3 linked regions of the Schizosaccharomyces pombe genome follow. The gene in region 1 interacts genetically with each later gene. Each region holds a gene or a part of one and is shown in the gene's direction. Other genes may lie near its edges.

Region 1 (6,651 bases):
CTACTGCTTTATAAAGCTATTTATTGTTAATCTCTTCCACAATGAAAGCAAATAGAGACTTTGGAAGAGATGGTGGCCCTTTTAGTATTACGCCGAATCGATTCCAGCCTAAATCCAGCGGAAATCCCATATTCCGACAGAAAACCATTCGAACTGTTGGGATAATTGCTTTAACACTGGTCTTATTTTTATTCTTCCATCGTTCATTCTTCTCTTCTTTTGGTGAATTTCCCAGTTTTTCTTCTACCGCGAACGCTCCTAATTCTGATGTGCAAGAATATGACTTGCGAAAAGTAATGAACGCTAAATTTACTGGAGATTATTCACCGAAAGAAAAGGTGTTGATTTGTGCTCCACTTCGAAATGCTGCAGAACATCTTAATATGTTTTTTGGTCACATGAATAACCTGACTTATCCTCACGAACTTATAGACCTTGCCTTTCTAATTTCAGACACTGATGATAATACTCTCGAGGTTTTGAAGCAACATTTAGACGCTATTCAAAATGACGAGGACGAATCTAAGCATTTTAACAATGTCCTTATCATGCTAAAGGACTTCGGTGCTATTTTCGGTCAAGAATTCAGTGACCGTCATGGATTTGCGGCACAAGGTCCCCGAAGGAAATTAATGGCTCGTGCTCGTAATTGGCTTTTGTCAGCCGCTATACAGCCTTACCATTCTTGGGTTTACTGGAGAGATGTTGACGTGGAGACTGCTCCAAACACTATTTTGGAGGATCTTATGCGCCATGATAAAGACATTATTGTTCCTAACGTTTATAGACCCTTACCAGATTGGTTGGGCAATGAGCAACCATATGATTTAAATTCATGGGCTGAATCTGAGACTGCTCTTCAGCTTGCAGATACTTTGGGCGAAGACGACGTTATTGTAGAAGGATACGCAGAGTATGCTACCTGGCGCCCTCATTTGGCTTACCTTCGTGATCCTAATGGTGACCCATCTGTTGAAATGCCACTGGATGGTATTGGTGGTGTATCTATTATGTCTAAAGCTAAAGTACACCTAGAAGGTTGCGAGTTTCCCGCATTTTCATTTGAAAAGCATGCTGAAACCGAAGGATTTGGAAAAATGGCTAAGCGGATGGGGTTTTCCGTTTACGGACTTCCTCACTATGTTATTTGGCATATTTATGAACCTAGCGATGATGATAAGCGTATTATGGCTGAAATGGAACGCGAAAGGAAAGAAAGGGAGGCCGCAGAGCTTGAAGAGGCTAAAAAGTATCAGACTGCTGGATTCACGCAACCAGATGATCAGGGTGCTGAAGAAGGTCCTTTGGCACATGCAGACGATCATGTTGATTAAGCTCCCTTACTTTGTAAAAAAATTCCTGAGCACAGTAACCATGTTTTACAGTCCTCTCTCTTCTTTATTTAAATCGCTGCCCCTTTTCACTTACATATATAATGATGGTCGCGTTTTTTCTTTATTCTTATTTCTTTTTATCTCTTTTAAACATATGATCAAGACATAATTAGTAATTTTAGTGTTATTCTGCCCTCTTTTTTTTAACTTGGTATACGAACTCATAATGGGATGCACGTTAGGATGATGCTTGTTTCTTCAGTTGGTGCGCTTTAATGCTATGCCAGGAAAAAAAGGAAGCTCTTGGTCTTATTCTCTCTTTAAGGACTTTTTCCTCCAAAAAGCCTTGTACATACAAACATCTTTAGTTTGTTGTTTATTCGACAGTGGGTAGGGCAATCATTCTCTTTCTTTACATGCACCCATTAGGAATATATGCCATAGAACGCTGTAAATATACAAAGCAGTTACCATGGTTAAACGGCATTCATATTAATTCTATTACGATACTGATACATATCACTGTCGAAAAGCAAATTTCAGTAGAATTTGTTGATTAGTTTACTTAATGGTAATCTGCTCACGTAGCATGAAAAGAAATTTCAATTTATAAATTGTTGAAAACTTCATATTAAATCATTTCAATCGCATAGGTCATGTACAAATACTAAAAGAGGTTAAGTCGTCGAAGCTTTAATGTACAATAAAACGCGTAACTTCGTCTTTTATCCAAGAACCCTTGGTTTTTTATTCTTCTTTTTTAAGTTATTTTTCTTCGTTTTGTGAAGGAAATCCTGCCAATTTCCCACACGATTATCTCTTGTCTCTTCCCAAACCTTTTCTGATTCTACACGACGCTTTCGTTCTCTTGCAATTTCATCTTGACGCGCTTGTTCTCTTTGCTGGTTTGCTAAATCGAGCTGCCGTGCTCGTCTTCTTGCAACTTCATCTGCAATAAGGATTTCACGCCAACGTACTTTTAAATCAAATAAAAACTGGTCTGAATGGACGTCTTCCGAATTTGGAGACAATTTTTTTTCTTTCAATAGTTGGTTCCTTGCAGCTGTGTAAGCCGAATCAAGAGATTCCCGAATCTTATCATTAACTAGATCAGACTCCGCCTTTTTTAAAATGTCGAATGCGTCTGCAGCTTTTGGGTTATCGCGATTTTTGTCTGGATGAATCATTAATGATTTTTTCCTGTACAAATTTCGAATATCATCAACACTCATTCCTGGCAAAATATCAAGAACATCATATGCATTTAATTTAAAGGAAGACAATATTCTGTCAATCTCACGTCCCTAAGTAAAGGTTAGAATTCATCGACTTTGTTTGATTAGCAAGTAATATACGCATAGGCAAAGTTATTCTATTGTTTCATTGTAGTATATAATCTGTATAAACAAAAAAAAAAAAAATTCTGAGAATAAGATAAATCGAATCAACCTACTAAGGTACATCTAGAAATCTTCACATGCAATGTCAATAAAATGCTAAAACTTACTCTGTTTAAACTTCCTTCAACTCGATCTAAAAACTTTGCAACGTCTGCCATTTCTGACCGAGCCCCAAAATTGAAATTACAAGAGTGCAAATTTCAAAAATCCTTTATAGATAAATTTGGTGGTGAGTTAGGTTTTGCATTCGCCAACTTCTGGTATCGAGGGTAAGAATCTGTAAGTACGTTTAGAAACAGGTTCTTTACATTTGTTCTTTAAATGTAATAATGTATATGAATATACATATTCATTTACATATCGATGTGTCTAAGGTTTAAAAATTTACCGTCCGAGAGTGCTCTTACGAATCCCTAATTAAGTTTGAATATTAGTGCATATTAACTATTAATGGGTTTGCAATTTAAAATAAGATGAATGAACTAGATGCTACAGATCCATCTGATTGGAACCAAACGAAAATACCATCGTTGAAGGGCTTGGATTCTTCTTTACGATGTCTGATTTGTCATGAATACTTTCGCGCCCCCTTAATTACTTCTTGCTCACACACCTTTTGTTCGTTTTGTATACGCGATTATCTGAGAGAACATCCTATGTGCCCTGCTTGTCGTGCTCCTGAGCAAGAAAGCCGCTTAAGAAAAAACACTATATTAGAAGAGATTTTAGAGTCCTTTAAAGTGATCAGGCCAACATTGTTTGAATTCTTAAAAGTAGAAAATGTGCCAAAGCCAGTACTTCAAGCTCCTGAAACAGTTATCGCACAGGATTCAGCTTCTGGCGATGAGGAATGGGAAGACGACTTGGCTTCAAATTCATCTCCTGCTTCTATAGCTAAAAAGACATCTAGGGATTCTAAAAAGAGGAAACGTGAGGATTTAGTTCACTGCCCTGCATGTTCAAATTTAGTTCCTCATAATCAAATTAATCAACACTTGGATTCTTGTCTTAACTCACCTTCTTCCCCGTCTTCCTCTTCCTCACCTTATAAAAATAAGGATAATAGTAAATCTAATTCATTACTATCATTCAAAACAGATGATGATTCTATCACGAAGCGCAGGTTAAGGTCGTTTAACTCTGCAGATGAACTACCCTTGAAAGATCGAGTGCGGCTTCCCAAACTAACTTATGCACTCCTTTCCGAATCAAAAATTCGTTCCAAATTATCAGAGATGGGGCTTCCAACCGATGGACATAAACAACTATTACAACGTCGACATGCTAAATGGGTTACCCTTTACAATTCTAATTTAGACCAGAAACAACCTGTTTCAAAAAGAAATTTAATTCGCCAACTTATAGATTGGGAGCGCGTTCAGTCGAAATCAATTGGAGTAGAAAAAGAAAAACTAGGAGGGGGCGATTGGGAGAAGGCATACGCTGAGGATTTTGCTGATCTCATCAACCGTGCAAAACAATCAACAACTAACAAAAATGATTCATTGAGGAACACTGCTGTTGAATCTTCCACCGAACCTTCTACATCTAACGGTTTTCCTGCCACTTCAGTTAGTCCCCCTCTTACTATTGACCTTACCAATTCACAAACGGGATCCGATGGACCACAGTCCTAATCATTAATTTTCGTTGGATTCGTTTTAACGAATTTTCATTATCAGATTAACTTATTAGTTTATTTCGCTATATATAATCACATTAATAACCTGTAGAAATTTTGATATTTGGTAAATAAAATAATATACATTTTGAAAGTGGGGCATTTCTAGCTAGAAGGAATATTAGAAGCAGGTTGTTTGGAGACTTCGACTTCGTCAAGTGCTGCAACACACTCCTTCAAATCCTTCCAATCGATTTTTCCATAAAACAATTTTGCTTCCTCTACAAAAGGCTTGGCACGAAAGGGAATGCGACATCTCAACCAAGCATCGGCAGTTAATACACACCAAAGTGCGGCTTTACGAGTTCGCTTATTAGAGAACGGGTCCGTAGATTCAGTTTTTAAATAAGAAAGGGATTTAAAGAGAGTGTGAGTTTGTTGAAAGATCATTGCTCTTCCTACAGGACCCAATCTCTTAGAATAAAGCAAACCTGCATTCCAGTTAGCAGCATCGTCCACTTTTGGAGCTGGTAAACAACTAAGGAATTGTCCCAGGAGAAGGAAACAGCGCGCAGCATGATAATAGGAATTGAAGGATTTATTCAAATAATTTAACATAGCAGATTGCATATACTCGTTTATTCTCAATGTGTTCGTCAAACTCATATATGGCATTTTTAGGTGTAAAATATGTTCAGTTATTACAATCATTTCTAGAGAGGCAGCAGAATATAAGCAAGCACCATCATTTTCATACTGTCTTGATGCAATTTCATAAATCTGATTTGCATGAGAATAATCTCGTAGCATGAAGGAATAGTCGGCAAGTTTCCTAAGATATGCCTCTGGTGAAAATGGACGATAGGCATTAGATGAGGGGAAATAGTTAGAATTGGTAGAAGCATTCGAACTAGATAAATATTTTCTGGATGCAAATAACAGCTTACCGGTAATCCCTCGTCTCGGAGAAGCATATTGATCATCCCATGCTCTTACGCATTTGTCCAAATAAGAGACAATTCCGTTGAACGCAATGTGCGAAGATAACCGTCGCAGTGATTCATTGTCGGATTCAAAGAGTAATCGTATTTCAGTATCCGTATTAGATAAAAGGTGTAAACGTTCTTCAGCAGACAACCAAGAGGATGTTGGAAAAGGAACGGTATGTTCATAATCTAAGGTAGCCTTTTGTGAATGAAGGCGAAGAAAGTATCCACAATCTCCAAATGTCTGCTTCATCGTATCAAATATAGCCATTGAAAGCTCCAAATCATGTTGATCTTCATCATGAACATATACGAAAAGGTAGTTTATATCATTGAAAACGAAAGCAGGAAGGGAAAGGTAGGGAATCGAATTAATCAAAGATCTGAGAGATTCAAAAGGACTAGGATTATGCGAAGTTACTACGACAAGGTGAGCAACGGGATGAGAAAAAGTTTCAAAAGGAGTAATAGGTATCCCAGTTAGTAACTGTCGCACATAGACAGGAAGTGGCATTTGGTAATTCCCTTCATGAGCCAATGTCCAAGCCCATCGTTCAACGTTTTTATAATGAACGCCAAAGGAATAATCTGAAGGGGGTTCAGGTGAAACAAGACCTGGATATCGCTCACATAAAACCGAGCGAAGTGAAGGAAAAGATGCTTCACTTAAGTGGCTTTCTAAAGCATCAATTGGGACAAAATGTAAATTTAAATTTTCCAACGTCAGCATTTCTCCATTCATTCCTCTACGGTTTACCTTTCCACGAATACGGTCTCCAAAAGGATACAACAATTCCCAAAACCCCTTAGGATATCCCTTCCTCATGGCAAACTCGTCAGCATCTCGGGAACATAGGACCGAAACTCGCGGAGCATATGCTTCTTGGATGATGGAACACAACTCCTCCATCGAATACAGTCCTTTCGACTGCATTACCTTTTCAAGATCTTCTGTTACGGGCTCTTGAAACAATTCCCCTGATGCATTAGCACTTGCATGTTGAAAAATACCTTTGGCGGAAAGGTTGCTTTCCATATTTTGCTGAGTAAATGTCAAATTCAAGCTTTTTCAATTAAAAACTCGAAATCCGACACTTAAATGACTTTATTACAAAGCTGATGTAGTGAAGAATACATGCAATGCACCTTTATCAACAAATTTTTTAGACTAGAAGTTAACTACCTCAAGGGTATATGGAGAGGATGTACGAGATTTGACAGCAGACTAGGTCACTACATAATTAATTGAATATAAAAAGAAAAAAACGATTTCATTTAATAAAAGTCTAATTAATCAAATTATGAGTATT
Region 2 (8,536 bases), 1.7 Mb from region 1:
AGGAAATACCCGAGCTTCTCCAGAAATTCGCTATGTAAGCGATTTCACTCCTCCCTCATCTCCCTTTGAAGACATGCAAGCGTCTGTTCATTCTTTGCCCTTGTCTGGATGTTCGATTGGTCCTGTGCGTACTAACCATTCTTCATCTTTGTCAAATTCATCTAACTCATTACTACAAACCGAGTCCTCCTTGCGACCCAATTCTTCTTTCGTAAATAGTCCTTTTTTCCCCCTTCCTTCTTCTGATGATCTTTTCCTTAATGACAGAGTCATTAATCTCTTTCTTTTTTATGAAAAATTCTCTTATTTGTTCACTCATTTACTTTCTGCTATAAAATCTAGAGATGCGTTGAGCATTCCATCACTCGTTCTTTCTCTCCAAGAAGAACTCTTCAATCTCTGCCAGCAGACCGGGACTTTTTATCTTCTCCAACACAATCTCTTGCAAAACTTTGAGTTTGAAAACCCCATTAAATTACATTTTGATAAGATAATTCCCTACTTTTCGAGATTAACTGTACTGACCTTCTCGAATCGTGCTTTTATTTTTCCAGACCACACTTTTCCCCGCTTACAGCAAAGCGCTGAGGATTTTCTGTACCATTTACAATTTTTCTTTACTCTGTGTGCAAATAATAGTTTATACCTTAGTCGCTTTTGTTACTACCCTTCTTTTGTTCCCAATACTCCTTTCGGGGGCAAATGGACCAACAATGGTTTGTCTGCTGTTTCATCAGCATATCGAACACGCTTGCTTGAGCCTTGCCTACCCGAACTCGACAAGTGCGTATGGTTTTTATTGAAAAATTGTGATGAATTTATTGAAAACTTCTCTGATTTTGCCGATGAAGAGTATGTCTTTGAAATTTGTTCCACAATTACTAGCCACTCTGAACAAATCTTCAACAAACTTGAAAGTTGGGATATGTCGATATACTTTGATAAAGATTTAAGTGAGTGCGAGCAAGCTACAAACTTTGCAGTCCAATCTTACTTTGTTACAAAGCAACGTTGTTATGATTTATTAACTGATCTGGTTTGTTCATCTCAAGACTTGATGATGGAGCACTCAAACGATTTTTCTACAATGCCTACAATGATTGCTTCCATTGCTGTGGCTTTCCAAACTTTATTTGAAAATGTTTGTGATTTTCTTAAAGTACGTGCTGCTCTCGTCGATGAGATGCAGGAATTAGCAACAAAAGAGTTTGAAAACAAGTTTTCAAATGCAAACACAGCAAAAGATGACGAACCGGCTCGTCAAACTAACAAAGGTACTACTAGAATTTCTAGAAGTTCTGATTTTACCGCTGTTAGCGAGATGAGCAAGGATACCTTAACACTTGGCAGAAACTCTTTGCAATCAATTTTGATGCTGGATAATTTGTTAACCAATAAAGTTGTGCAAAGCGATAACAATGTTAAAGGTGGAACTTTACCGGCCCTCGTGCATTACCTTGTCCAGAACGTTCACTTGAACAAAGATTTTCGCCATTCGTTTCTTTTGACTTATAAAACGTTCACTACCCCCCAGGAATTGTTTACGCTTCTTGTCATTCTGTTTCACGAGTTACCGCCACCAGGATTAGATGCTACAGCATATAGTTCTTGGGAAAAGGGAGATAATTTTGTTACCAAGAAGAACGTCTGCACCGTTATGAATTTGTGGGTTCAAAAATACTTTTTTGAAGATTTAAAAGCCCGTAACACTCTTTATTTGATTTCGGAGATGCGTACCTTTTTACGTGACCATGTTGTTCCATCTTTTCATATTGGCAGTGTAATTTTATCGGAAATTGACAATCTCTGGACTGAAGAGCCTCCAGATTCGTTAACCCAACGCCTATTATCTTCTCCCATGGCTACTTTTATTTCTTTAAACGTATATGCTTATACTCCTGAAGAATTTGCTTCCCAGATGACATTATTGGAGTTTGATTATCTAAAGCAGATTCCTTCGAGGGAATGGATATTTAGAAGCTGGGTTAGTCGCGATTCTCGCAGCGCTGTCCGAAATTATATAAACTTTTCGAATTGTTTCACCTATTGGATAATCAATTGTATTTTAGAGAAAAAGAATACCAAAGCTCGTACAGCAGTAATATCCTTTTTTATACAAACTGCCTACAAGTGCTTGTCCCTCCAAAACTTTTCCACTCTAATGTCTATTGTTTCTGCCTTAAATTCTGCTCCTATTTATCGTTTACATGCAGCGTACAAACTTGTTAAAGCTGAAGACATAATATGTCTGTCTGGTTTACGTGAAATCGTGGAAACAAAGAAAAATTTCAGTACTTATCGTGCTTTACTTCGCAAGGCTGAACTTCCTTGCGTACCGTTTTTGGGTGTCATATTAAGTGACTTGACTTTTATCGATGAAGGTAACCCCGATGTTCTTGATTCATCTCCACATCTGTTAAGTTTTAATAAGCGGCATCGACTTGCCGATGTCGTCGCAGATGTGTGCCGATTCCAATCCTCCTCTTACGAAATGCAATCTAATACTGATCTTCAAAGCTATATTTTACATCGGTGTCGCTTTGTTAACCAAGATCTGTCCTATTTATTTGATAAATCACTCTCACTTGAACCTCGTTCTTCTTAAATCTTATTTTTTACCCCTCTCTTAAAATCCCGTTTTGGTTTTAGCCCGTATAGGGTTCGCTCTTTTAGTTGTCTTTCAGACACAGCTTTTAATCTATCTCTTTACGTATTTACTGTTAATGTTATCGTATTGGTTTAACTGACATGACCTTGATGTTGTATTATTCATTAGGCGTTGGTAAACAAAGTCTCAGAATAAATTATCGGAATTGTCGGTTTGTAGGCTGATGACTCTGCTCAGTTTTCTTAATTCCTATTGCTTGGAATCTAGTTCTTTTTGTTTTTGGACAATTGCGTCCTTTTTATTACTAATATCTTCCATTAATAATAAATTAGTCTTTTGTTATGCCCAAGAATACATTAAGTAGTGGTTTATGTAGCTTGATGGAGATTGGTATAAACTTGTATATTTGATTTCTTTCTCCATCGTAATTTGACAGCTAACCTATTTAATGTGGTTTTACCTTTTCAGCAGTTGACACTCATACCAAAATTTATTGGTGTACGCTTTGAACTTACCTACAAGATATTCGCCTAAGTACCTATTTGTTGTTACCTACAAAACCCTTTTAGTTGCTCGTCTTCCTACCAAAAACCAAGAGCATGTAAGCTTGGTGTCTTCCTTATTTACCATTTTCTGTTCTAATTTTCATAATAAATAAAAAATTAATTACTAGAATGACAGATAGGTCTTCAAATGAGGGCGTCGTGTTAAATAAAGAAAACTATCCATTTCCCCGAAGAAATGGTTCAATTCATGGCGAAATTACAGATGTCAAACGGCGACGTTTAAGCGAAAGAAATGGATATGGTGATAAAAAGGGCTCATCCTCAAAAGAAAAAACTTCATCTTTTGAGGATGAGCTGGCTGAATACGCTTCACAATTGGACCAAGATGAAATAAAATGTAAGGTTTTTTGGATAGCTAACCATTTATTAGTATACTGACTCCTTGATAGCTTCAAAAGATCAGCAGTGGCAACGACCAGCTTTACCTGCAATAAATCCTGAGAAGGATGATATTTATTTTCAGCAAATCGATAGTGAGGAGTTCACAGAAGGATCTGTACCTTCAATTCGTTTGTTTGGTGTTACTGACAATGGAAACAGCATCCTTGTTCATGTTGTGGGATTCCTTCCGTACTTTTATGTTAAAGCCCCGGTTGGATTTCGACCTGAGATGCTAGAACGTTTCACACAAGATTTAGATGCTACTTGTAATGGGGGTGTGATCGATCATTGCATTATAGAGATGAAGGAAAATTTATATGGATTTCAGGGAAATGAAAAATCTCCATTCATTAAAATCTTTACTACTAACCCTCGTATATTATCTCGAGCACGAAATGTATTTGAAAGAGGAGAATTCAACTTCGAAGAGCTTTTCCCTGTTGGTGTCGGTGTCACTACTTTTGAGAGCAATACGCAATATCTTCTTAGATTCATGATTGACTGTGATGTTGTTGGTATGAATTGGATTCATCTTCCTGCTTCAAAATATCAATTTCGTTACCAGAATCGAGTTTCTAATTGTCAAATTGAAGCTTGGATTAATTACAAAGACTTGATCAGTCTTCCAGCTGAAGGCCAGTGGTCTAAAATGGCCCCACTGAGGATCATGAGCTTTGATATTGAATGCGCAGGTCGCAAAGGCGTTTTTCCTGATCCCTCTATTGACCCTGTAATTCAAATTGCAAGTATAGTAACGCAGTATGGAGACTCCACTCCTTTTGTTCGTAATGTCTTTTGTGTTGATACATGCTCACAAATCGTTGGAACACAAGTATATGAATTTCAAAATCAGGCTGAAATGCTTTCAAGTTGGTCAAAATTTGTTCGTGATGTTGACCCAGATGTTTTAATTGGGTACAACATCTGCAACTTTGATATCCCTTACCTCTTGGATCGAGCAAAAAGCTTACGCATTCACAATTTCCCATTACTTGGCCGTATTCATAATTTTTTTTCTGTCGCAAAGGAAACCACGTTTTCAAGTAAAGCATATGGTACTCGTGAAAGCAAAACCACTAGTATTCCTGGGCGTTTGCAGCTTGATATGTTACAAGTAATGCAGCGTGATTTTAAGCTTCGATCTTACTCTTTAAATGCAGTCTGCTCTCAGTTTCTAGGCGAGCAAAAAGAAGATGTACACTATTCTATCATCACTGACTTGCAAAATGGCACTGCCGATTCTAGAAGACGTTTAGCTATTTATTGTCTGAAAGATGCATATTTACCCCAACGCTTAATGGACAAATTAATGTGTTTTGTTAACTATACTGAAATGGCAAGAGTAACAGGTGTACCGTTTAATTTTCTTCTTGCTAGAGGCCAACAGATTAAAGTTATTTCTCAATTGTTTCGCAAAGCTCTTCAACATGACCTAGTTGTTCCAAATATACGTGTAAATGGAACAGATGAGCAATATGAAGGTGCTACAGTCATTGAACCGATTAAAGGATACTATGATACCCCTATTGCAACACTGGATTTTAGTTCACTTTATCCTTCGATTATGCAAGCCCATAATTTATGCTATACGACATTACTTGACTCAAATACTGCAGAATTATTAAAACTTAAGCAAGATGTTGACTACTCAGTGACTCCGAACGGAGATTATTTCGTTAAACCACATGTTCGTAAAGGACTACTCCCTATTATCTTAGCTGATTTACTTAATGCACGTAAGAAAGCAAAAGCAGATCTAAAAAAGGAAACGGACCCATTCAAAAAGGCTGTTTTGGATGGTAGACAGCTAGCTTTAAAAGTAAGTGCTAATTCAGTATATGGATTTACTGGTGCTACCAACGGACGTTTGCCGTGTTTAGCAATTTCTTCTTCTGTTACCTCTTATGGTCGACAAATGATTGAAAAAACCAAGGATGTTGTAGAAAAGAGATACAGAATTGAGAATGGATACTCTCACGATGCAGTTGTAATCTATGGTGACACTGATTCTGTTATGGTTAAGTTTGGCGTTAAAACGTTACCTGAAGCCATGAAATTAGGAGAGGAAGCAGCTAATTATGTTTCAGACCAGTTTCCGAATCCTATTAAACTGGAGTTTGAGAAAGTGTACTTTCCATATCTTTTAATTTCCAAAAAACGTTATGCAGGATTATTTTGGACTCGTACAGATACTTATGATAAAATGGACTCTAAAGGAATAGAAACTGTCAGAAGAGATAACTGTCCTCTAGTATCTTATGTGATTGACACAGCTTTGAGAAAAATGTTAATTGATCAGGATGTAGAGGGTGCACAGTTGTTTACAAAAAAAGTTATTTCCGATTTGTTACAAAACAAAATTGATATGTCACAACTTGTAATCACAAAGGCATTATCAAAAACTGATTATGCTGCCAAAATGGCACACGTTGAATTGGCTGAGCGAATGCGTAAACGAGATGCTGGCTCCGCCCCAGCCATAGGAGATCGCGTTGCATACGTTATTATTAAAGGTGCACAAGGTGATCAATTTTATATGAGGTCGGAGGACCCTATATATGTATTGGAAAATAACATTCCTATTGATGCAAAATATTATTTGGAAAATCAACTCTCCAAACCTTTGCTTAGAATTTTTGAGCCTATTCTTGGTGAAAAAGCTAGCTCTTTACTTCATGGTGACCATACTCGGACGATTTCCATGGCAGCCCCCAGTGTTGGAGGAATAATGAAATTCGCAGTAAAGGTTGAGACCTGTCTTGGATGCAAAGCTCCCATAAAAAAAGGTAAAACTGCTTTATGTGAGAATTGTCTAAATAGATCGGCGGAACTGTATCAACGTCAGGTTGCTCAAGTGAATGATTTAGAAGTTCGTTTTGCTCGCTTATGGACTCAATGTCAGCGATGCCAAGGAAGTATGCATCAAGACGTCATTTGTACCAGTAGAGACTGCCCCATATTTTATATGCGAATTGCAGAACACAAGAAACTTCAGCAATCTGTTGACTTACTGAAAAGATTTGATGAAATGTCCTGGTGAAAAAGATGGATGTTTTTAATTACTAAATGTGTATATCAAACGTAATGATGAAAAGTTATAATAAAAATTCTACTTTTCTTAAGTACTTTTGCAATGCGAAAACTAAACGAGTTTGCCAAAGCTATACCTTTATGTTTGCTTTTTTTTAATTCAGGACAATATGATAAGTAAATTGAATCATCATAATGGAAGGCATGTCGAATGAGAGGCGAAGACTCCCAGATAAACAAGAAAGGTAATTTTACTGACAAAGCACACTTGCCAGCAATAACCTGGAATAAAAGTAAACAGTGACGTCCAAATAAATGATCAAAAAATGCTTTTTTCAGAAGATTCATAAATTGCTGCACTGTTGGAGGAAATAGTTGCTCCATAAATGGGTATGTAATCTTTTTGTAAAGAAGGATGCTTGAATTTTGGTCTTTTAAGAAGCAATGAGAAGCAGCATTGTTTTTAGATTGATGAAATACTGCGATTTGGGTGCAGAAACCGTAAGTAGATGATGGGCGAAAATGTAACAAATCGTCACCATCTATTAGATCATTTAGCAAACCACAGCCCGTAAATTCAACAGTATACTCTGGGTATCTTTTACAAATTTTATAAGCCCATTTAGCAAACTCTTTTCGATCCCATTCAAAAACGTGTTCAGGATGTCTAAAATTGGTAGAAGTACGAGATGATATACTACTTGTCAAGGTTGATAGTTTCTCAAAGATTGTGTTAAATTCAAAATTCGGAGTTGACACTACGCAAACATTGGGCTTCAAGTTTCCAAAAACAAGTTTTTCAAAGGCTAAAATCTCTGCAACTTGACAATGCTCAATAAACTCTGAAGCTACAACCGCATCAACATGTTTATAATGAGTAAAATCTTTAATATTACCAAGCAATAATTCAATATGTAGCGGTCGCCAACGTAGTTGTAAAAAGTCTTCGGTTCTAACCTGTAAAGCCTCAGTAGCTCTTTCAATACTTTGTTCGTTAATATCAATACCGGCCAGAAATTCTATAGGCACTTGATCATTGCAAGGTACTAAATATGATAGAAAACGAGCATCTCCACATCCAATGTCTAACAAAGATCGCACAGGGAAGCCTCCTTGAAGTATTTTAAATAATTTCCTTCGACGCTGTACATGCAAAGGTGGGTAAAAGCTAGAGACACCCATTGTCTAAACTCAAAGTATTTTTGGTACACTTTCTTCACGTTAGTCAAATAACTACCTATTAACTGTGAATGTTCGTTTCAAAACCACTATTTAAGCCTTTTCAAATTCATTACGAAGCGAATTGTTATTAATTCTTTGCTAAGTCCATTGCAATATGATTTCGATGACTGCCGTTAAGACACCGAACCAAATTTAATTGAAAAGGGAATTGTTGACTAGTGCGAAGTGTCATTTTCAACGTTAAATAATAAAATTATCTTAGCTCCGAATCTATACTTTTCAATTTCCTCTTTAAAATTGTTATAATAGCATGATATTTAATTACAATAAAATATGTAGCATTATGCAAAACGAGAACAAAAAAAGCACATACAACCAGCGAAGAGTAGACGAAAATTATACGGCAAATTTCAAAAGAATGTACCTATATCCATTTTTTACAGCGCTCATCATAGATGACCATTTACTCAGAAGCTCCTCGCCGAGCAAGCATATCGGCTTGTTGATTACCGTAATCGGTACTGTGTCCTTTCACGTACTCTAGCGAAACATTTCTGTCACTCATCAAATCTGAAGCGCGGTTGATCAAATCCAAATTTTTTACAGGTTGTGAATTGCTAGTCTTAAAGTCATTTTTCTTCCATTTAGGCAGCCATGTGGTTAGTGACTTAATGGAATAATTGCTGTCAGAGCGGATGGTCAAATCGCCAGATGTATTTTCAAGGGCTAGGATTATGGCTTGCAATTCCGCACGATTGTTGGTTTGCTC
Region 3 (7,247 bases), on another chromosome or scaffold:
TTGATACAATTTATGCACAGTCTTTGAATTTTTCAAACACTTAATATTAACTGAGGTTATCTCTAACCCTAGTTATTGTTTGAGTTTCCATTTTTATTACGACTCATTTACAAACAACTAAAACTCCTTACTATGATTAATTAGTCAGTACATGTCAATATTTATAATTTAAATGTTTACAGTTTTTTTATTCTATTGTTCTTTTAGCGAATCTAAGAGTTTACAGTATATCACTTACGAAATTATATTGCAGTTACACTATAGAAGTCAAGTTGTTGGGATGCTTTAATTATGTGAAGATGCACACTCAGCTTATGCTCTTGCGATGCCTAAACCTATAGAATGGGTATGATAACTATTGATTGATTTAGCTGATCAAATAGAATGAATTTGATTCAGGAATGGGTAGTAAGTTGGATGTGTCAAGTTCCTTGAATTCATCGTCTTCCAATATGGATCGTGACAGATCGGAGTCTCCGAAGCGACATGTCAACGGAAGCAATTCATTGAAACGTGGCTTGCATTTTGATGGAGAGCACACTGAAAGAGACCCTCACTTGGGAAATGGCCAAAAGTACACTCAACAAGAGCGTCGCGTGTATGTTGGTAATTTGTCATATCAAGTTCGTTGGTTTGAGTTGAAAGAGTTTATGGGACAAGTTGGCAATGTTCTTAATTGTGAGATTTTGAATCTTCCGAATGGATTATCGAAGGTAAGTTTGCTTCATAGAGGGTGGGTTTCATGCGACTAGTAAATCATTGTCTATTTAAATTGTAACGTTGAATCGATCCAATTGAACGTTACTTTTAAACGATTACTTATGGCCTATAGCTTATCCTAAAATTTGTCGTATACTCAGATTGTGAATAGTCTAGCTAATATATCAGGGATGCGCGATAATTGAGTACTCTACTGCTGAAGAAGCGCGCACGGCAATTAAAACTCTGAGCAACCAAAAATTTATGGGCCGTCTTGTTTATATCCGTGAAGTAAGATTTTTTTTATGTCGCTTATTAACCTTCGTAAAGGATCGAGAACAAAATGCAAGATTTGGCTCCTCTTCAGTATCGCCTAGCGCGTCGTCGAATGGCAAAGATTCTGAGCCAGACAGGCAATTGTTTGTTGGTAACGTAAGTTCAATTTCTAATCCTCTATATTCTTTTCCTCGAACTTTGGTATTTTAATGAATTGTGGAATTGCAAATAAGAAATGGTACTAACGAGTATAGTTACCGTATAACGTTCGCTGGCAAGATTTAAAGGATTTGTTTAGACAAGCTGGTTCTGTTATCCGAGCTGATATCCAAATGAACCAAGAAGGCCGATCCCGTGGCATTGGGATTGTTGTCATGAGTTCGATGAAAGAAGCCATGCATGCCATTCAAATGTTGCATAACACTGATTTCATGGGCCGCACTTTAGAAGTTCGCCTAGATCGGTTTGCACATCATAAAAGTAAGCCGTATTCCACTCATGGAAATGGCTATACGTTTCCAGCGGAAATGCAAATGACTACATCATCCACCTATCTACCCATGTTAGGTGCTAATACTCAAGTCGAGGATTTAGTTTATCATGCGTATCCCCATGGACCCTGCTCGGATTGCATTTACGTTGGAAATGTATGTATATAAGGACGCTTTTGTGGGATTAGTTTTCCGCATCATTTTAAGTTTTTTTTGGAGATTACTGACTGAATATAGTTACCTTGGGCCACCTCAGATCGCAATTTATTGGACCTATTCACAGATATTGGCTCAGTCATTCGTGCCCGAATCGCCTATGAGCCCACTGGCCGATCTAAAGGTTTCGGTGTCGTTCAATTTGAGAATGAAAATGATGCAGCATCCTCAATTGAAAAATTAAATGGTTATCGTTATGGCGGGAGACCCTTGCAATTATCATACGCTCACTATGCGACTCCACTACCTGCTGTCCCTACTGTGCTCTCGGGTCTTCCTTCAGTCGCTTATACACCACCTGTTATGCATATCCCTACAACGAATTCACCACTAACGCCCCAATCTTTTACAAATTCTTTCTTAGGCTATCTACCGATTTCAATGCCCGTTGCAAACATGCCCGCTATTGCTCCTATTTCTGTAGCTTTACCCGAAAATAATATTGAACATTCTTTGGAGCCTTCTTAAAAATTCGCCAATACATCTGAACTTCTTTTCTCTTTACAATTAAGCACATTTCCGTAGTGTGAATGGCTAGCTCAGTGACGACATGCGCAATGTTCTAAGGCAGTTATCCTAATATTGTTTGCTTTTCTCTATTTTTTCTTCAAATTTTTGCTTTAATTCCTAATCCCCAAATATTCTTATTTTCCATGTTTATAGATTTATCTCTTTTGTTTGATTTCAATTTTTTGCTAAGATCTTATTCTTTTCCGTGACACACCAAAGTATGCTGATGGCATATATATTCGTCTCTCGTTCTTCTAATTGAAGTCTTTTTAATTTTAGCTTTACTGTTTTTTTACAGGATGCCTAGTTTCCTTCTTTTACAATTGCTAACCATTTCATGGTTTTAATGATATTTTAGATTTTTAGACTTCCATTCTGTTAACTTCCAGTTAACCAAGTTTAATCTTTATTGATTAACTACATTATTTTTAAAGTAAGGTGTATTTAGGTTAAAAATCTTATTTAAGCATAATGGTAAATTTCGTATAGCGAAATGTAGGTGTTGATTGTTTCTTACCTTCTTTAGTAGCCTTATCAATGAAATACAAACATTTACTTCTATCTTATTCCCCACATTCATAAAATTGATGGTCGCATACCTGGCTGGCATATGTAAGACGACAAGCATCATACGCATGAAGTCTACCTACCGAGTCCTTTACTCATGAAAAATCCTTCAATCTGTACGTTCTTTCCGTTTGGACGTTTTTTCAAGTATTTTTCATAATAAAAAATTTAAATTTCTTTATTAAAATTATTTACATCAAACTATAAAGAGGAATGGCAACTGTAAAGAACTTGCGAATTGGCAAAAGTCCTAATCGGTTGATTCAAGATTTAGACGTCTTTGATAGTCCATCAGCTGGATGGAATGATCCTTGGAGTCCTCATAGCTCAAGATATCACTGGCAGCTTCATTCAAATTTAGGCGAGTCCGCTGTATTTGACGAGAATGACTTTTGGTGTGTTTGTCAAAAAACTCGCAAACACTTACATGTGAAAGTCCGAAGAGACAGGGGGAAGCCATTAATTGAAGAGCCTGAAGAAAATTATGGAATAAAAGATAGGATTCCTGTTTACTACGAAGAAGAGGAATTACCTGAACCTCATGTGACTAGCCCTACGAAAAGTGAATTCGCTACTACCTCTACTTGTATGAAATGGAGTAGCAAAACAACAAAAAGTGAAATTGAAGTTGAATGGAGAGATAGCTATCTTGATGCTAATTGTATCAAAGAGATAATTGATTCCCGACGTCCATCATTTGCTTCCCTTTTAACTAAAAAATCGTCATCTCATCAAGGGTCATCCCATTCATCCCAACCTTCTCTTTTTACTACATTTACTTCTTTGGAGTTGTTTTTACGAAACGTGTTGGTCCATAACGATCAACGTGCCATTAGCGCTGCCCCGGAAGGAACTTTTGAGAGACATGTCGGAAAGGGCCGCCAAATTCAATCTTTGATGAAATCTCTTCTGTTTGAATATCACCACGAAAATGTAAATTATGTCCCTACCATTGCGGACGCTCCCCTTACTGACGAACAAAAACTTAATCTATACCTTGCTAGGAATGAACTTATTGTTTTGGCTAATCACTTTCGTGACACTAAAGAAGATCCGGCTATTGTTGCTAACCCTTTTCCCGTTAGGTTGGCTCGACCTGCTTTAATTAATGCCTTTGGCGTTCCTAACTATGATAGCGTGGTTCCCATGTATACCACAGTTTTTCGCGACAATTCGGCCTCCTTACCTGATGATCCTGCTTTTATAGCCTTGGGTATCACGAATGATTATCCAGACAGCTTTGTCCGTTATTTCTATGAGGAACAAAAAAAGAACGATGAAGCTAATGTTCGTGTTTATGCGGATGCGCTTGCTCATATATACAATTTACGTAAAAGCAGCTTTTTGAGAGATCTAATTGCGGCAGATAGGAAAAATGGAATCGTGTCGAGCGATGTAATACAAGCCGCTTATTCGAGTTTAGGACTTGAAGCTGAGGTAGGCCCGGATTACAGGTATAGTCAAGAAAAAATCTTTGAGGCGTTTCATTCTGCCCTCCTAAGAAAACCTGAATTTGCCAGAGCTATTAGGAACGATTTGGAGACTATTGGCTATGCAAGAAAGAGTTCTGAAATTTTAAATTATGTTTTGTCTACAGAACAGGCTTTTTATACGGTTAATGAAGCCTACCAATGGTTGGGCATTAAGTCTAACACCGAGGACGCCATGGTAGCTTCTGTGGCCTTAGTGAAATTTGAAGATGATAGCGACAAAGCCATCGAGGCCGTCAAATGGATAGCTGAAGAGAGAAATAGCTCCATTTTGTACGATTTCTTGGCTTCACAAGGTAGACCTTCCAACAAGAAGCCTAAAGAAGTGCCTATGGATGAAGATCTAGCTTACAACACATTAGGTGTTCAAGATCGTGCACTATCAGATGACGTTTTAATCAATGTATACGGCTTTGCTGTTGAAGACCACCCAGAGCAATCAGACACTTTGAGAGCAGCTTTGAAATGTATAGGAGAAGTTAGGAATTCGCGTTTAATCACTCATTATTTAGAACATGGAAATCTAGATATTCCACCAGAAGTTTCAAGTTTGGATACTCCGATCGGTTTGGAAAATACTGGTAATCTTTGTTATTTGAATTCCCTGATCCAATACTACTTTATTATAAAACCTCTTCGTAATGCAATTTTGGATATTGATGAAAACAAAGATCTTAATATGATTGAAAACAAGGAAGCTGTCAAGAAAGTTGGTGGACGGATTGTTACTCGAATTGAATTCTTGAGGGCTTTACAATTCACTTATGAACTCCGAAAATTATTTATTGAACTCATTACTTCAAAGTCATCGTCTGTTCATCCTTCTTCAGTACTGACATATCTTGCTTTAATACCTCTTACGTTGGACCAGGTCAAATCTGGAACATCCTCGGTTATGGATTTGTCATCGTCTCGAGAGTTGAGCAATTTGAATGAGAGATCTATCACTATTGACCCCAGAGCAGAAGAGCAAGCTCAAGGGCTTGAACAAGAACAAGGACAGGATGAGGCCAAAAGTCCAGCGGAACAATCTTCATCAGTTAATTTAATTGATTTTCCCATGGCCAATACTAACGGAGAGTCTCAAACACAACCTCATTACTTTGAAGTATCTGAAGAAGAAATAAACTCCTCCATGGATTTAGGTCGTCAACAAGATGTCTTGGAATGTATTGATCACGTTTTGTTTCAACTGGAAGCTTCACTTGGTCGTATTTCCAACTCAGAAGATCGTCTTGGCTCTGATAATGATCTTATACGACGTTTGTTTTCTGGCAAACTAAAACAAACACTAAATGATGCTAGTCAAGGAGTACGGTCTAACTATGAGATTTTTTCTCACTTGATCGTTGACCTTTTCGAGGAGAAACAAACATTGTATGATGCATTGGATGGTGTTTTTGAAACAGTCAATATTGATATGGGAAGCGAAACTGCCCAACGATCCTTGTGTATTACTGAGCTACCGATAATTTTGCAATTACAAATACAGCGTGTCCAATTTGACAGGACTACTGGACAGCCTTTCAAGTCTAATGCATTTGTTGAATTTGGAAAAGAACTTTCCATGGACAGATATGTTGAAGATACTGATGGGAAAATGGCACCTTTACTACAAAGGTACTGGGATCTAAAGCGTGAAATTATCAACCTTCAAAAACGACAACAGCTATTGTTAACTACAAATTCGAATCTAATGTCATCTGTTGATACATTGTCTATTCTATCTAAATGGGCTGCACAGCAGCAGGATTCGAGACTTCCTATTAATCCAAAACTTCCTGATATCCTTCAAGAGGAAATAAACAATGTTGTCGCTGAAGTGGATATGCTTAAAAAACAGGAAGCCAGCTTAAAAGAAGAAAGGACGCATCTTTTCGATAATTACATCAGCCATAGCTACGACTTGCTTGCTGTATTTGTGCATCGTGGACAGGCTTCATTCGGTCATTATTGGACTTACATTCATGATTTCGAAAACAATGTGTATCGAAAATATAATGATGAATATGTTACTGTGGTAGATGAAAGCGAAATTTTTGCTGATACTACGGGCAACAATGCTAACCCTTACATGCTTACGGTAAGTCGTTATTATTTCCCATTTGAGGGAAATAATCATTTTCTCAAATTTTTTCCAGTTTACATATAGCTAACATTTATCTAGTACATTAGGAAAGAGTATCGACACATAATTGAATGTGTTCACCGTGAACACAATCTTCTGCTTTAAAAACTATGTGAAGGGTAAAAACTAGGATGGATCATCCGTGATCAATTGCTATGAATGGAGGTTGGAAGTTGTAACGTTTTTCACGATATTAAAGCATGGAAGCTATGAATTCATATTTCAAAAATCTATTTATACATAAAAATTTAGTTATACTTTATACATCGGTACGGGTTAATAATCTATTAGTCTTTACTATAAAGAGAAAATTTTTCTATGACAAAATTGCAAAAAGTCTAGCAAAAAAATTGAAATGTAAACAAACGGCTTTTATTATTAAAATGGCGATTATCGCAAATTTTATTATAAGTAGTAATCTTTGACAAAAAATGTAATTAATAGATGAAACTAGTAGAAGTTTCCAATAAATAAGTCAATAAATCACTATAGAAGTACCATGGAAAAAACATAAAAGTAGCTGTAGAATCAATAGCAGGTTTTAAGGTAATTTGAACGAGCTTTGTACAAAAATACATCAACAGTGCCGTGAATGTGCCAAGTTATTCATCAAAGAGAGCGAAAAGTAAAATGATGCGTCGTAAAAAAAATCAGGTAGGGCAAGATTAACTAATAAACTAGGTATTTAAAACAAGGATCATCCGCCCATAAACCGAAATAGAAAAAGAGAACATGTTTAAAGAAAAAATGAAAACTATAAGGGAAATAAAATCTTAACACATAAACGAAAAAGTAAGGAGCCGATTATTTTGTAAAGTATACGGCCGCAACTAAAAGAACCTATAGATCGTGACTAAACCACTTCTTCCG

What was found. Genes that interact genetically often act in the same process or in processes that back each other up.
Region 2: mutations in rhp18 (region 1) and cdc6 impair growth when combined (synthetic growth defect), as found in Schizosaccharomyces pombe (one study listed by BioGRID).
Region 3: of rhp18 (region 1) and ubp2, changing one suppresses a phenotype caused by changing the other (phenotypic suppression), as found in Schizosaccharomyces pombe (one study listed by BioGRID).

What each region holds. Positions count from the first base shown.
Region 1 is NC_003423.3:1,067,051-1,073,701, forward strand, and holds rhp18 (postreplication repair E3 ubiquitin-protein ligase), read left to right. Parts: upstream 1-2,977; 5' UTR 2,978-3,207; coding exon 3,208-4,371; 3' UTR 4,372-4,520; downstream 4,521-6,651. Other genes in the region: mannan polymerase I complex subunit Anp1, read left to right, coding at 42-1,334; DNAJ protein Spf31, read right to left, coding at 2,060-2,638, 2,842-2,892; TRAPP III complex subunit Trs8502, read right to left, coding at 4,521-6,377. UniProt on the Schizosaccharomyces pombe protein: E3 RING-finger protein, member of the UBC2/RAD6 epistasis group. Associates to the E2 ubiquitin conjugating enzyme ubc2/rad6 to form the ubc2-rad18 ubiquitin ligase complex involved in postreplicative repair (PRR) of damaged DNA.
Region 2 is NC_003423.3:2,740,561-2,749,096, forward strand, and holds cdc6 (DNA polymerase delta catalytic subunit Cdc6), read left to right. Parts: upstream 1-3,201; 5' UTR 3,202-3,282; coding exon 3,283-3,511; intron 3,512-3,563; coding exon 3,564-6,595; 3' UTR 6,596-6,630; coding exon of another isoform or gene 6,631-7,767; 3' UTR 7,768-8,036; downstream 8,037-8,536. Other genes in the region: Ras guanine nucleotide exchange factor efc25, read left to right, coding at 1-2,605; hen1 (S-adenosylmethionine-dependent methyltransferase), read right to left, coding at 6,631-7,767; ribonuclease H Rnh1, read right to left, coding at 8,231-8,536. UniProt on the Schizosaccharomyces pombe protein: Catalytic component of DNA polymerase delta (DNA polymerase III) which participates in chromosomal DNA replication.
Region 3 is NC_003424.3:3,484,353-3,491,599, forward strand, and holds ubp2 (ubiquitin hydrolase Ubp2), read left to right. Parts: upstream 1-2,841; 5' UTR 2,842-2,972; coding exon 2,973-6,332; intron 6,333-6,416; coding exon 6,417-6,482; 3' UTR 6,483-6,747; downstream 6,748-7,247. Other genes in the region: hrb1 (RNA-binding and mRNA export factor), read left to right, coding at 326-346, 384-713, 889-990, 1,030-1,131, 1,230-1,622, 1,704-2,150; bsd1 (heavy metal ion homeostasis protein), read right to left, coding at 7,231-7,247.